Linked DNA regions of Kluyveromyces lactis. The protein of the gene in region 1 interacts with the protein of each later gene in a pairwise test. Links are inferred from orthologs where the notes say so. Each region holds a gene or a part of one and is shown in the gene's direction. Other genes may lie near its edges. The genes, in order: HRT1, YAK1 and KLLA0_D13838g.

The links.
Region 2: the proteins of HRT1 (region 1) and YAK1 interact in binary tests that used the Saccharomyces cerevisiae proteins (3 or more experiments, as listed by UniProt). The link is inferred for Kluyveromyces lactis from reciprocal best matches to the Saccharomyces cerevisiae genes HRT1 and YAK1.
Region 3: the proteins of HRT1 (region 1) and KLLA0_D13838g interact in binary tests that used the Saccharomyces cerevisiae proteins (3 or more experiments, as listed by UniProt). The link is inferred for Kluyveromyces lactis from reciprocal best matches to the Saccharomyces cerevisiae genes HRT1 and YIL001W.

What each region holds. Positions count from the first base shown.
Region 1 is NC_006041.1:649,582-652,867, forward strand, and holds HRT1 (SCF ubiquitin ligase complex subunit HRT1), read left to right. Parts: upstream 1-1,892; coding exon 1,893-2,225; downstream 2,226-3,286. Other genes in the region: mediator complex subunit MED7, read right to left, coding at 675-1,316; prephenate dehydratase PHA2, read right to left, coding at 2,574-3,286. UniProt on the Saccharomyces cerevisiae protein: Core component of multiple cullin-RING-based E3 ubiquitin-protein ligase complexes (CRLs), which mediate the ubiquitination of target proteins.
Region 2 is NC_006037.1:539,714-544,881, forward strand, and holds YAK1 (serine/threonine protein kinase YAK1), read left to right. Parts: upstream 1-1,831; coding exon 1,832-3,946; downstream 3,947-5,168. Other genes in the region: KLLA0_A05775g (glycosyltransferase family 15 protein), read left to right, coding at 1-555; DNA-directed RNA polymerase II subunit RPB4, read right to left, coding at 605-1,207; protein transporter TIM17, read right to left, coding at 4,262-4,726; KLLA0_A05852g (uncharacterized protein), read right to left, coding at 5,137-5,168. UniProt on the Saccharomyces cerevisiae protein: Negative regulator of the cell cycle acting downstream of the cAMP-dependent protein kinase. Part of a glucose-sensing system involved in growth control in response to glucose availability. Phosphorylates POP2.
Region 3 is NC_006040.1:1,188,222-1,192,796, reverse strand, and holds KLLA0_D13838g (uncharacterized protein), read left to right. Parts: upstream 1-2,201; coding exon 2,202-3,740; downstream 3,741-4,575. Other genes in the region: phosphoinositide 5-phosphatase INP51, read right to left, coding at 1-1,870; IRC22 (Irc22p), read right to left, coding at 3,802-4,518.

The sequences.
Region 1 (3,286 bases):
GGTACTGACGACAGTTTCGCGCGCTATTCTGTTGTGTGTCTTTCGGATAATCTGCCTGGCGGTTTTTTCTATTTGCCCTCTGCCCGCCGTTCCCCTCTTCTGTCTCTCTTTGGTCTCTTTTTCATGCCTGGTCATTTGTTCTCCTCTTTGCCCGTTTAGGCCCTACACTCTCTGCACGAGTTATTCCGATCGCTAATTCTTTTTTTGGGTCTTTTTTATAATGCGTAGTGTGGTGTAAGGGAATTGTAGGATTTCTTCCTGTGGAATTAGTTTCTCCGATCCGCCATACCTGAAATCGAAGAGAAATCGGCAATTCTACCCCATTCTGGGAAGACAAAAGAAAAAGGACTTCGCGAGTCATGTAGAGCACGTGACTTGTATTTTAAACTTACTAGGTCTTCGTTACATAATCAGCGTCAGAGAGTTGGTATTAGGACTTTTAGAAATAATGAGCATTAGCTTCGTCCGACATCTTGCTATTAAATTTGTCTTCCCCCTTTGCTTGCATTGGGAGAAAGTTTGCTGATTTTCTTATTCTGTATACCTTATTCGGCGGCTAAATTTCGAATTAAATCTCTCAAGCAGCCGAACTTATGAAAGTTTAATTAAACATCTTGATACCAAAGTCTTCGTTTTTAGAGATCGCCTTAACAACTGGTATGCTGGGATATATATCACAGTTGAGCCAGCTTGGATTCCACTTCATCACAGACTTTATTGATGTGTTCCATTTCCTTGCGTTTATGTTCCAATTGTTCTTCAAATAACATGATTAGCGATTCACGACTTTGGTGCGGTCTATATTCGTTAAGAAGATGGTGAATATTGATGGCTATCACCCTTATCTCGTCAAGTTTTTTCTCATATCTACTTGAATCCACTCCCAATATTCCTATAAGCTCTAGGAAATTTAGTAATAGTGATTTCATTAGTTTTTTCGACTCTTGGATCTTGTTCTCGTAATTTGTCCCACTTTGCGAATCTTGAGGACTAGGTTCAACTTCTGTTGTGGTCCCGTTTTCCAATTCCGTGACAGATTCCCGTTTCCTATATAATTGTTCAATTCCCATCTGTGATAACTCCGGTAGTTCATCCTTAATTTTCCATACATTACCAAATGCTCTGTATGAACCATCCCTGGGTAGTTCTGGCTTCACAAAATATTTCAACTGCTCCCTCTGTTTTGTTGTACATTTCGCTAGTTTTTCTTCATCTTTGCCACATTCTCTAAATAGTTTTGAGTTCTCTTCGGTGAAAAATTGAATGAACGGTGGTGGTGGAGGATACAATGATGATACTTCGTTCTTGTCACTCATGGTCCTTTATATTTTAGCTTCTGACTGGCAGTATTGTCTCTCACTTTCACAATCACTTTCAAAAAAATCTTTTATTGAGAGGGATTTCAATACTTTAAAGGACGGTCGAGGTTCCAGTTTATCTTGAATCTGGACAGATTATGGCCACGGAGGTCTAACACAGGTCTGATATCGCCAACACGCTTTCCTGTGTTCACTGATTTATCACTTGTTTCTGTTTGTGCTGGTTACTATAAGTTGGATTTCCATTTCATGTACAATTTCACATCCGGGTAACAAATGTTTGTATTCACGTGATATGAATATCACTCTTGTCTCTCTTTCAACATGAATTCTAATGTTTCTGAACGTTTGGGCAGTTACGAAAGTCCATAGATCCCATTATAGTCCACAGGGTATATCTTTTGTCATTCATAAGACTACTCTATTCGATCATTAATAGTTTAAAAAAAGGTTTTCACACCCGCGTTTCCAAGGATTGAACGACAGTTAGACCTGGGACTTAGAACGTCTGTTTGTAATCTGTTTTAAAGAAGGAAGGATTTATATTTACCAATAGTAGCTGATCGTTAGGAGATGGCCACGGATTTGGGACCAATAGAGGCACAGAGCGGGACAGAGGGTGCTACTGAGTCAAAGCCCAATTTTGAGATAACGAAATGGACAGCGGTAGCTTTTTGGTCATGGGATATTGACGTTGATAATTGTGCCATTTGCAGAAATCATATTATGGAACCATGTGTAAATTGTCAGCAGGAAGCAACTTTCAACTCGGAGCATGAATGTGTAGCCGCCTGGGGTGAGTGCAACCACGCATTCCACCTACATTGTATTACCCAATGGATCAAGAGCAGAAATGTTTGTCCGTTGGATAATAAACCTTGGAAATTGGCTCGGTGTGGCAAGTGAAGATAGAGTGTTAAGCCTACAAAGATGCATTATCGAAATTTAATATCGCTATTGGACTGTTCGAACCGCAAAAAATGTTACTCAATTTAGATTTCCAATGATTTAATACCAAGCGGATAGTGTGGATTTAATATCTACCATTGGGAAGAAGCTTAGATAATCTGGCTTCTGTGTATATATAGTTACGTAACGAGCTTCTAATGGAATTATCGACAGGTTCGATCGGTCCCAAAACAATAGACAGGACAGCGTTGTTCCATGAATACAACTAGGATGCGTACATTCCTCTTCGATTGCTTCGTTTTTAAGATCAGTATTTGCATTTTGTTTCTAAACATAATGCATATATCATGGGATTTGGTAATACAGTGCGTTTCGGTAGAATTTACCCCAGTGAATCCATTTTGCGCAGTTTTCGTCAAACCTTTTCGCCAGAAGTTCGTAATCAGTACCGTAATTGCCATAAAACTCAATAAAGAAGCAATATTGCCATTTTCTTTCTGATTGCACTTGATTATGGAATGGTCTCGAACTGATTGAGCACATATTCAACTTATACTCCCTCAAGACATTTAATACATCTATTAAGGAACCTGGATCATCTTGATTTATCACGAAGGTGACAAAGTTTACTTTCATTTCATCGCCTTTAGGTGGGAGAGCTTGGCTGCCAATTTCGCTAGATTCGTCACGCCTTTTCAAGATCAAGAACCTTGTCGTATTTCCATTGACATCATTGATACCGCCTTCCACAATCGTAGCTTTATTTAGTGATGCACTCGCACGGCTTCCAATTGCTAGAGTTATTTTTCTATCAGTGGCATATTCAGCTATGCATCTTTCCACAGCCCCCGCAGTCGAACTGCAGTCGATCTTGGCGGTCTTACCGTATTTTGTTTCAAGATCACTGAGATAGTCTTTTACTTGGCCCCAAACTTGTGGATGTGAATATATAACATCAACCTTTCTTAATTGTTCTTCTGAGAGCGGTACTGGTGAAATCAAGCAATGGGCAATGTCGACGTATTGTTCACCAACAACCTCAACACTTGGACTTAAAT
Region 2 (5,168 bases), on another chromosome or scaffold:
GAGAAGAAGAAGAAATACGGATTTGTGATATCTATCTTTGAATATGAGGATACGGTAACGACATTATGGGATGCTGTTGAGGAATTCATGGATACTTATCCAGAAATTCTACATCCTAACAACAGTCTAAGCTTTTTGACGGATACCACGATGGTGGGACGTTTTTTCCCTGTTGTTGATTCGAATACAGACTATAATCTATGTCATTTCTGGTCCAATTTCGAAATTGGAGATCTAAATTTCTTTAGAAGTGACGAGTATCTTCAGTATTTCAATTACTTGGACTCCAAGGGTGGGTTTTATTATGAACGTTGGGGTGATGCACCCGTGCACAGTATAGGTGCCTCATTACTTCTAGACAAGAATGAAATCCACCACTTTGATGAAATTGGATACAGCCATGTTCCATTTGAAACATGTCCCACGTCCATATCAGCACGATTAGTGCTCCGTTGTATGTGTGATCCTAACGGCGAATCTAATATTCCCATCCACCCAAACAGTTGCTTGATGAGATGGTGGAAAAACGGTGCCGGCAAACTATTTATTAGATGATGGAGCAGAGGTGAAACCGGGGATATATATAAGATATAGTACATAGGTTTTAGTATAAAGTTTCCAAATTCGATAATTCCTTTAGGATTCTTTCTAGATCTTCGTCAGATATCTTGGTTCCTAAACTTGGAATTAGAGTCTTGGCTTCATCTGCATCTTCGCACGATAGAGAACCCAATTGCGCCACTTCGAATGGATGCAACCCTGTGGATGATAAAAGCTGTGATACAGCGGTTACTGTTTCCTGATCACGGAAACGTGAAAAATTCGTTAGGTATATCATGGTCTGCTTCAACGCTTGATTCTGTCCACCAGTGGTCTGTTCAAGCAATCTATCTATATCCTGTAACTCTTTCTCCTGTGTTTGGGTATGCACATTGACGTTATCTTCATCATCCATGTCATCGTCCTTATTTGATGCACCATTGCTTGCCCATGTCTTGAATAATTTCCGACGGTTCTGTAGCGTTTCCTTTATAATCAAACGAGACTCACTCAAATTTAAAGCCACTAGGTTTTCCTCCTGCCCCTGATGGTTGATTTGCTTCAAATTAAACTCTTCTCCCAAGTGTAAAGTGGCAGCATTCTCTTCTTCAACAAACTTCTTCAACCCACGTCTCTTGGTTTGAACAGTGGATGTAGATGTATTCATGGTAAATTCGAGCTGTTATCTATAAGAGCGGTCCAAAAAAGTAGACGAGTGTAATCACAAAAAGTGCTATTCCAGTAATCAGCCACTTTGACAACGGTACAACTTAGATAAATGTAACTCCAGTTGATGTTTCGAGTGACAAAGTTAGTTTACCTCTCGTTTTAATCGTAATTGAATTTCCATTTTTTTTCCTAACGGTAATTATGCGAAAACTCAACATCAGAATATTGGCCCTATGACTTCATGACATGAATGTTCTCTGTATTTAAGGTATTAAAGTGAATCTTGGCAAAGCTGTTTGTTTGTACAGGACACCAGGGCTTATTTTTAGGGCAGCGCTGTATGTACTTGGTACTCATCGTGATTAGGTATAGCCAGATTCGAATTTAGCTGTTTTTTAATATAGGAAGGCGTACATTCTTTAGCTGGTTTTGTTTCTGTTACTGTTTTGCTATAAGTTCTTTAAGCGAAACTCAGGGTTATTCAGTCGATATAACGTTTAAAAGGTATTTCCGTTGAAACTTTGAGTTGTGAATTGGTCATTTCTTTGTTGGAAGAGAGGCTTTTCTAATATTTTGCTGCAATAACGTGGTTAGACGTTGACTATAATCTGATATATAATAAATGGGGGATAAGAATAGCCTTTGGAACCCTGCGTTCATGGCTTCTCAGCAGGGAGCGTCGAGTTCGAATCAGAACCAGAACTTTTCTCAGACGCAGGCAAATACCCAGAATCAGGGCCCAGAGATTGCGCCTGATGGGCCAGCTGGGAGTAGCTCCAATGCAGGCGGGAATATATATGCAGGGCAGCAACAAGGCGGAAATGCGGCTGGTGGTTTCCAAATGCAGTCGCCACGTCAATCGATATTCAAAAACCCATGGCAAGAGATTCCCCAGATACCTGAGTCTCAGAGGTCTACTATGAGGAAGCAATCCAACTTCCCCTTGCCCACTACTTACGAAGAAGATAACGCTGTAGATGAATCCTCACAACAGTTCAGAAGGAGAAACTCATCTTTAGTAATACCACCTGCGCGTGCGGCAGGGCCTGATCCGTTCCTTTATGAGAAGCAACCGTTTCCCAACTATAATGATGCACAAAGAAGGCAGTCGGTTGCTGTCACTGGTGGCAGTCAACTTTCGCCACAGCAGGTAACGAAACCATCTCAGCTTAGGAAACCTGGAATTAATACTGCGGGATATATGGCTGGCTCCATAAATTCTTCTGTGTATCCCGCTACTGCAGGTGCATACATGAGCACGCGTGGCGGCTCAAGTTCACTTCCGTCGTCAAGGCCACCTTCTCCAATAATTATTGTCCCTAAATTCAACAAGATATTTACGAGACAGGACTTGAATCCCGTTATACATTCCACACCGAAATATAGACGTGCTTCATTAAGCAGCAAGACGGTCTCGCCGTTGATGGCTCTAACTAAGTCGTTAACTACCACTTATTCATTGTGTAATGACGATTTTGCATATCAGACATCAAAGAACCCGAAAAGAGTGCTAACAAAACCAAATGAGGGGAAATATAACAATGGACATGATAATGTCAACAGTGACTACATCCTTTACGTTAATGATGTGTTGGGGGTTGAACACAACAGAAAATATTTGGTCTTGGACCTTTTGGGTCAAGGAACTTTTGGTCAAGTTGTGAAATGTCAAAACTTAATAACAAAAGAGATTCTAGCAGTGAAAGTTGTGAAATCTAAATCAGAATATTTGAATCAGTCAGTCACTGAGGCTAAAGTTTTGGAATTATTGAACAGACAAATTGATCCTAATAATGAACATCACTTCTTAAGGTTGCATGACACGTTTGTGCATAAGCATCATTTGTGTCTTGTTTTCGAATTGTTGAGTAACAATTTATATGAATTGTTGAAGTTGAATGAATTCCATGGGTTGAGCATGACACTTATTAAAACATTTTCAAAGCAATTATTGGATTCACTATGTGTCTTGAAGGACAGTAAGTTGATCCATTGTGATTTGAAACCGGAGAATATATTGTTGGTAAGCAACGATCGACCTGATTTAAAAGTCATTGATTTTGGATCTGCATGTGAGGAAACACGTACCATTTACACATACATTCAATCAAGATTCTATAGAGCTCCAGAAGTTCTTTTGGGGATTCCTTATTCTACCGGGATAGATATGTGGTCCTTTGGTTGTATCGTTGCAGAATTGTTTCTTGGTATACCTATCTTTCCCGGTAATTCTGAGTTTGATCAAGTTACAAGAATCGTGGAATCTTTGGGGATGCCACCTGCATGGATGTGTGATATGGGTAAAAACTCTAAGAAATATTTCCATAAGATGAATACCACTGTTGAGAAAAAATTTAGAATGAAAACCATTGATGAGTTTAACTTGGAGTTTGCTGCTAACGAAGAGTCAGTGAAGAGATACGTGAAACATATATTGTTCGATGATATAATTCGTAACGCAAGAATTTCGAAAAGGATTTCTGGGAATCCAGCACTTGTTGAAAGAGAAATAAAGAACAGGGACTGCTTGTTACATTTTTTGAGAGGAGTGTTGAACCTCAATCCACTCGAACGTTGGACCCCACAACAGGCCATTTTGCATCCCTTCATCACAGAAGAACCTTTCACAGGGGAGTGGTACCCACCGGGTACCATTCCAAAGAAATCACAAACAGCTCGTAATCCTTCATTACAATTCGACTCTGTAGCGTTGGACAAGTTACAACTTGGCGACTAATGTAAGCAAACACATATGTAGCATTTTGACTTGATATTTTGTATAATACCGATCTAATTAACCGAATAAAATAGGTTCTTAATTCCATTCACACCGCAGTTCAGTCCATCTCTCAATATTAAATGTGATATTTTCAGAAATATATATGATATTTATGTACATGGGTTTAATATTCCTTTCGTTAAGAGATATATAGTCATTAAGTTACTCTGATGCAATGGATAGAGAAACAAGAAGAAGAGAAGCGTATGGTACAGCGCAGCAACCGCACGAAACAAGTTTAGAAAATGGGAAGTCTGATTATTCTTCCGATCTTCAAGCTTGCATTGGTTGATCTGGCAAAGGTGGGGCCATTGGCTTTGCTTGCCAAGCAGCGTATCTTTGGAACATCAAACCAACACCTTCAATGACACCAAGTAAACATGCACAAGTGATAGCTGAGTTTCTGGTATGCTTCCAACCTCCTCTGATAGCCAAAGCACCACCGGTGAAGAAACCGGCAATAATAGCATTCCATGGATCTTCTCTTTTCCTCACGGCCTTAACACCACAGTCAAAAGTAGAAAACAAACCACCCCATACACCGAAGTTACCACCGACAACTGGTGCTCTGGCCTTAATTGCACTGACAGCACCAGCTCTTCTTTCACCTAGTGGAGAGTTACGGAAACCCTTGATACCATGCCAAACACAACCACCAATGACACCCATAGCAAAGGCACCACCGAAATCGTTAAGAATCACAATAGGACAAGGATCCCTCGAATGATCAGCAGACATATTTGTATTATTCTAGATTATATTTGCCTTGATCCGAGAATTCAGTTTAAGCTCCAATATCGCTCTATGTCCTTGATATTAGCTGCCAAAAAAAAAAAGTAGATAGCCCTATCTTTCACCTTCTTTCTCCCACGAGTGATGTAGATTCTCTAATTCTGATAATGAATCTTAAATGCAGAGATCAAGCATACAATCATTACAGACCTGAAGACCAGTTATCTCATGGTGTATGATGTCTAACTTTGCCAGTTCCAGTTTCAATATTGAAAAATTTCTATGAAAATTCACGGCAGGGTAACGTTAAAACTAATAATTCATTCATTCATACTCAAAAGATACAAAATTATATACATATATGCTTAGATGATAGGCAATATGCCCTGCTGTCAGTAGCGTAAAGTGTTCTATGGCTATGGAAGTGGATTCGGATGCGTCTGGGAAT
Region 3 (4,575 bases), on another chromosome or scaffold:
TATGCTTGATCCGCGATTTGTTCTCCTCATCTGTAAATACCAATAAAGCGAGCCCACCTAGCTGACTGTTAAACACAGCATGATACTTCTTGTCATTATAGGAGTTGATCTCACTCAGAAGTTTCTTTTCCCAGAAAGTCTTGATGTAAGGGTCTGTGGCGAGCATGTGGCCAGGTGATAACTCGACTATCTCTTCCAAACCAATGACATATAGATCAGGGGACTCGTTTTCAGGTTTTAACCATCCCTCGAGTTTCTCTTTCGAAAGTTTCCCATTCACATTAAATGTTCCCGCAAAGATGGATATTTCCTTTTCGAACGTATATTCGTGTCTTCTTTGTCTTAGAAATCTGGTCACATATATATGCAATGGATCATATAACGCAACGATTGCACTTGGATCAAAAAGACCGCGGTAAATCTTCTTATATTTAGAAGGATTCTTGGAGTGCTTGCTATTAAGCCTCTCTAACCAGAAATCGTTGCTTTTCCATAAAGAGTCATGCGATTTCCAAAAGTCTGAAGAAATGTCTTTCTCTTCCAATTCATTGATGGTCAATTCCAATACGTCGGCGCTGATAACTTTCTCCACAATATTTAGCTTCTTGAAAAGATTCACGGCACTAATCCTGAAGACACCAGTCTGTTTACCGACGTAAATTTTCTTATCCATATCGTATGCAAACGATCCGAACTCGTATATCTTTTGTTGTAAAAGATATATTATCCTGTGCGGAATTCTGTTCAACGCACTGGTAGAGTCTTCTATCAAAGTTAAATCAATACCCTTTGATGAAGCGCATTTTTGGTAAGTGTTTATCATTGCTTCGTAAGCATCGTTCTTTGGTTTCGAAACATTGACTATGCTGACAACACCGTACTTCGACATTAATTCGTCAAAATGGAGGTCAAAAGAAGGTTGTACAGTGCTTGCCTTTGATAACAACTTCGGTTTTTTACCATGGAGGAATTGACCTTCTACTAGTTCCCAATTCAATGGTATATCACCACCAGTCATTGTATAAGAAAAGACGTTTCGTCTCGTTTGAACTATGATTTCCGTTTCGACAAAATTAGAAACCTTTCCGCTCTGATCAATTCCCTTGAATTCTGATAGATTATTCATACCTTCCGTTGATATTCTCGATATTAGAGTGCAGGATGATGATATACCATCAGTTATCGTTTGACAAAATCCTCTTACTAGGAATACCAGAAAGGATCCTGAATCAAAATACGGTCGCTCTTGAACTGCGATTCTAGATCGCAGCTGTACGATTTCGGAAATTTGGTTATAATTCCAGACATAACGCTGATCCTGGTTATCTATGGTATACTCAATTCTATGCACCAATCCTCTCTCTTGTAAACTGTTAGTGATATCAAAATCATTGGAATAATAAAATGACCCATCACTGATAAGCATTTTTAGATGCCCACATGGATGTTCAGTCAACTGTCTTTCATAGCCTATATCAGAGAGATCTTGAAACATTGAGTCGTATTTATCACTGTCTATGCAATAGAAATTAATGTTCAATATTTGATAGATGGTTTCCTCCTCTATTACCTTATCCTGCTCATTTAGTTTCCATCTGGGAGATCCGACCTTTTTGTTACTTGTGATAATCCCAATAAACACTTGACCCTTAACAGTGATCAATCCGAACAATGCAGTAAATGTTGTGTGGTTCAATTGTGTGTATGGCTCCGTATCAAAAGCGCTTTCTAACACTGATTGCACTGTGACCTTAGGTGAACCGCCCTTCAGGAATGATGACGTACTATTTTGTCTTTTCTCAAAAATAAGCACATATCCATTCGAAACTAGAGCAATAGCTCTAGGACTTTTCCGTAGATATACTTTCATATCTATCTTCTTTTATTAGCCATCTACTGATAAGTTCCTGGGTTCTATGCAGTACTCTTTACTTCCAATTATCCTTAATATTTCGGTAGACATTCTTATACCTTTTTATGTTTTTATCTTGGCTGAAATGTTTATTTTTAATCCTTTAAAATCGATTGACTTGCCATCAATTAAAAGATGAAAAAAGCTCCATAATTACTAAGAAAATGTCGATCTTTCAGAAAGTCCGATAGACATTTGGGCTCGCAATTTAGGGACCATTTGATTCAGGAATCAATTCAGTTTTTAACATAAAAAGTTGCTTGGTGAAAGGGTCCGTTTGGGGTTGGTAATGGTTGATACTAGTGCTAAAAATCCACTGCTAAATCAGAATAAGAATTTCTTGGAGTTGTGTTTTGCTTGTAGGATAGGCGATGTTGAGAATGCAGATCGATTAATTTCTACTGGAGTTAATGTCAACGGTGTAGATGAGTTTGACAATTCGCCATTATTTTTAGCCAGCTTATGTGGTCATGAAGATGTTGTAAATTTGTTACTACGAAGAGGTTCTGTTTGCGATAGAGATAGATACGAAGGTGCTAGATGCATTTATGGTGCCTTGACTGATTCCATTCGTAACATTTTACTAAAATACGATATATCTAAGGCAGTTGATGTCAAGCAACCGTTTGCCTCGCACCTTTCATCGTTAATGAATGATGATATTGTTAATAATTTTGACTTCCAGTTCACTTTTGATGACGATCTGCAAATTCCTGCTCATAAGTTTATACTGGCGGCACGATCAAGTTATTTCAGGCAGAAATTCAGTGGTCCATGGGCAACATTGAAATCCAAGAGAATGCCTACCGGATCAGATATAGAGGCGTTCCGTTCAATATTGAAGTTCATTTATTTAGTACCTGTCTTACATGAATTAAAGCAAGACCAATTAAAACATATCCACCTCCTATCTATGAAGTCGGGATTTCCGGATCTCCTATCGTACCTTGATAAAACCATGCACGTATCTGACCCATCAGAGAGGGCAAGCTTGATGAATGAGTACCAGTATAAATTCAACACTGATGCCCGAGACCAATTAGAAGCTTATGTCAATGAAAACATATTTAACAATGGGATACTACTTACTAGTGGAGAGGTTAAGGATAGACATTTAAAAACCCTGAGAGATCTACCACCATTTGGTGACTTGGTCTTAAAAGTTACCACAAGTGAGGGACAAGATTATTTTTATATGTGTCATAAATCTATCTTGGTGAGATCCAATTTCTTCAAATTGATGTTTTCCTCATCTTTCCAAGAAGCCACTTCAGAGGTTCCAATTGTTTCGTTATCGGTGGTTAATTTATCTGTGGCCGAAGTTGTTCTTTCCTATTTATATTATGATTCAACAGATATACCCTGGGAGATTGCCATTGATGTATTACGAACCAGCGATTTCATTTTAACGGATAGATTGAAAACGATGGCAGCGGTGACCATAACCCAGAGTAAGGAATTTTTAACAAAATATTCAATCTTCGACGTCCTCGATGTAGCCTGGAGCTGCTCTGTGGAACGGTTAGAGCACCATGCTGCAAAAGTAATTGCTTACGACATCGAAAACTATATAAATGATTCACTTTTATCGGACGCCATTATTCAAAGTTCAAAAAGGATCAAAAGTCGTCAAGATACAGATACTGTTGAATTAGTAGATGATATCAGATTCTACTTATTGGAAAAGTATGATTTACAAGCGGACATTTTGGAGTTATTGGACACTGAAGACGATATAGATTTCTTGAAGAAGTCTGGCCTTTTAGAATATAAAAAGGATATAGATTTGCTTGAAAGTCTATTAATTGAACTCGGGTTTGACATTTGATCAGTTACGATATTTACATTCGACCATGATATATAAAAATAAAGTCCTTTACTACAATCAATCATTTGATATGAGTTTCCGGTAACCATTCATTTGAATTACTAGCTCTGTTTTGTTTTTTGACGGGTTGTTTCGTAGTCTTGAAGCTGAAGCCAAAGACATAGTAGGAAATCGCGGCAACAAGCCCTAGCAAGAACAGTTGGATAGACAAAAACTGGGGGTTGAATATTGACAATGGAGGAGGAACAACCTGAATAGAAATAGGAGATGCACCCACTTTCATTTGTTCGCCGTCTTTGTCAACGTAGATGTGAGGTAAGACGTACAGAATGCCTTCCGGTAAATCAATTGGTAATTTCTGCAGTAAACGAGCACTCTCGTTTATTGCCACATGAACTGGGCTGAAATCAGTTCTTGGAATATCAGCAATAATTTGGCTACTTCCCATATCAATGATGCTTCCTCCAAATGCATACACATTCACGTCTGCATCCTCGCTATTTGTAAAATTGTAAGAGAAGGAAAGCGACTTACCATTTTCTACCTCGATCAGACCGGATGATATTCTGCCATCCTCTTCTAACACATCGTATTCAATCAAAAAGTTAGCAATTTTAGGTTCTTGTTGGTGTGGCTCGTCCTCTGAGCCGATATCAGCAGAAGCAGCATCGCTATCGTATTCCACAGGAATATCATTATGTATTCTGAGATTATGTTCTAAGTCGGCATAAACACCACTTAGCGCCGAGAAAATTAGAGCAACCTTTAAAAATTTCATTTCCCTTGTACTTTATGAACCCTATAATCAATTGAAGAGACTCGATTGCTGGTAATT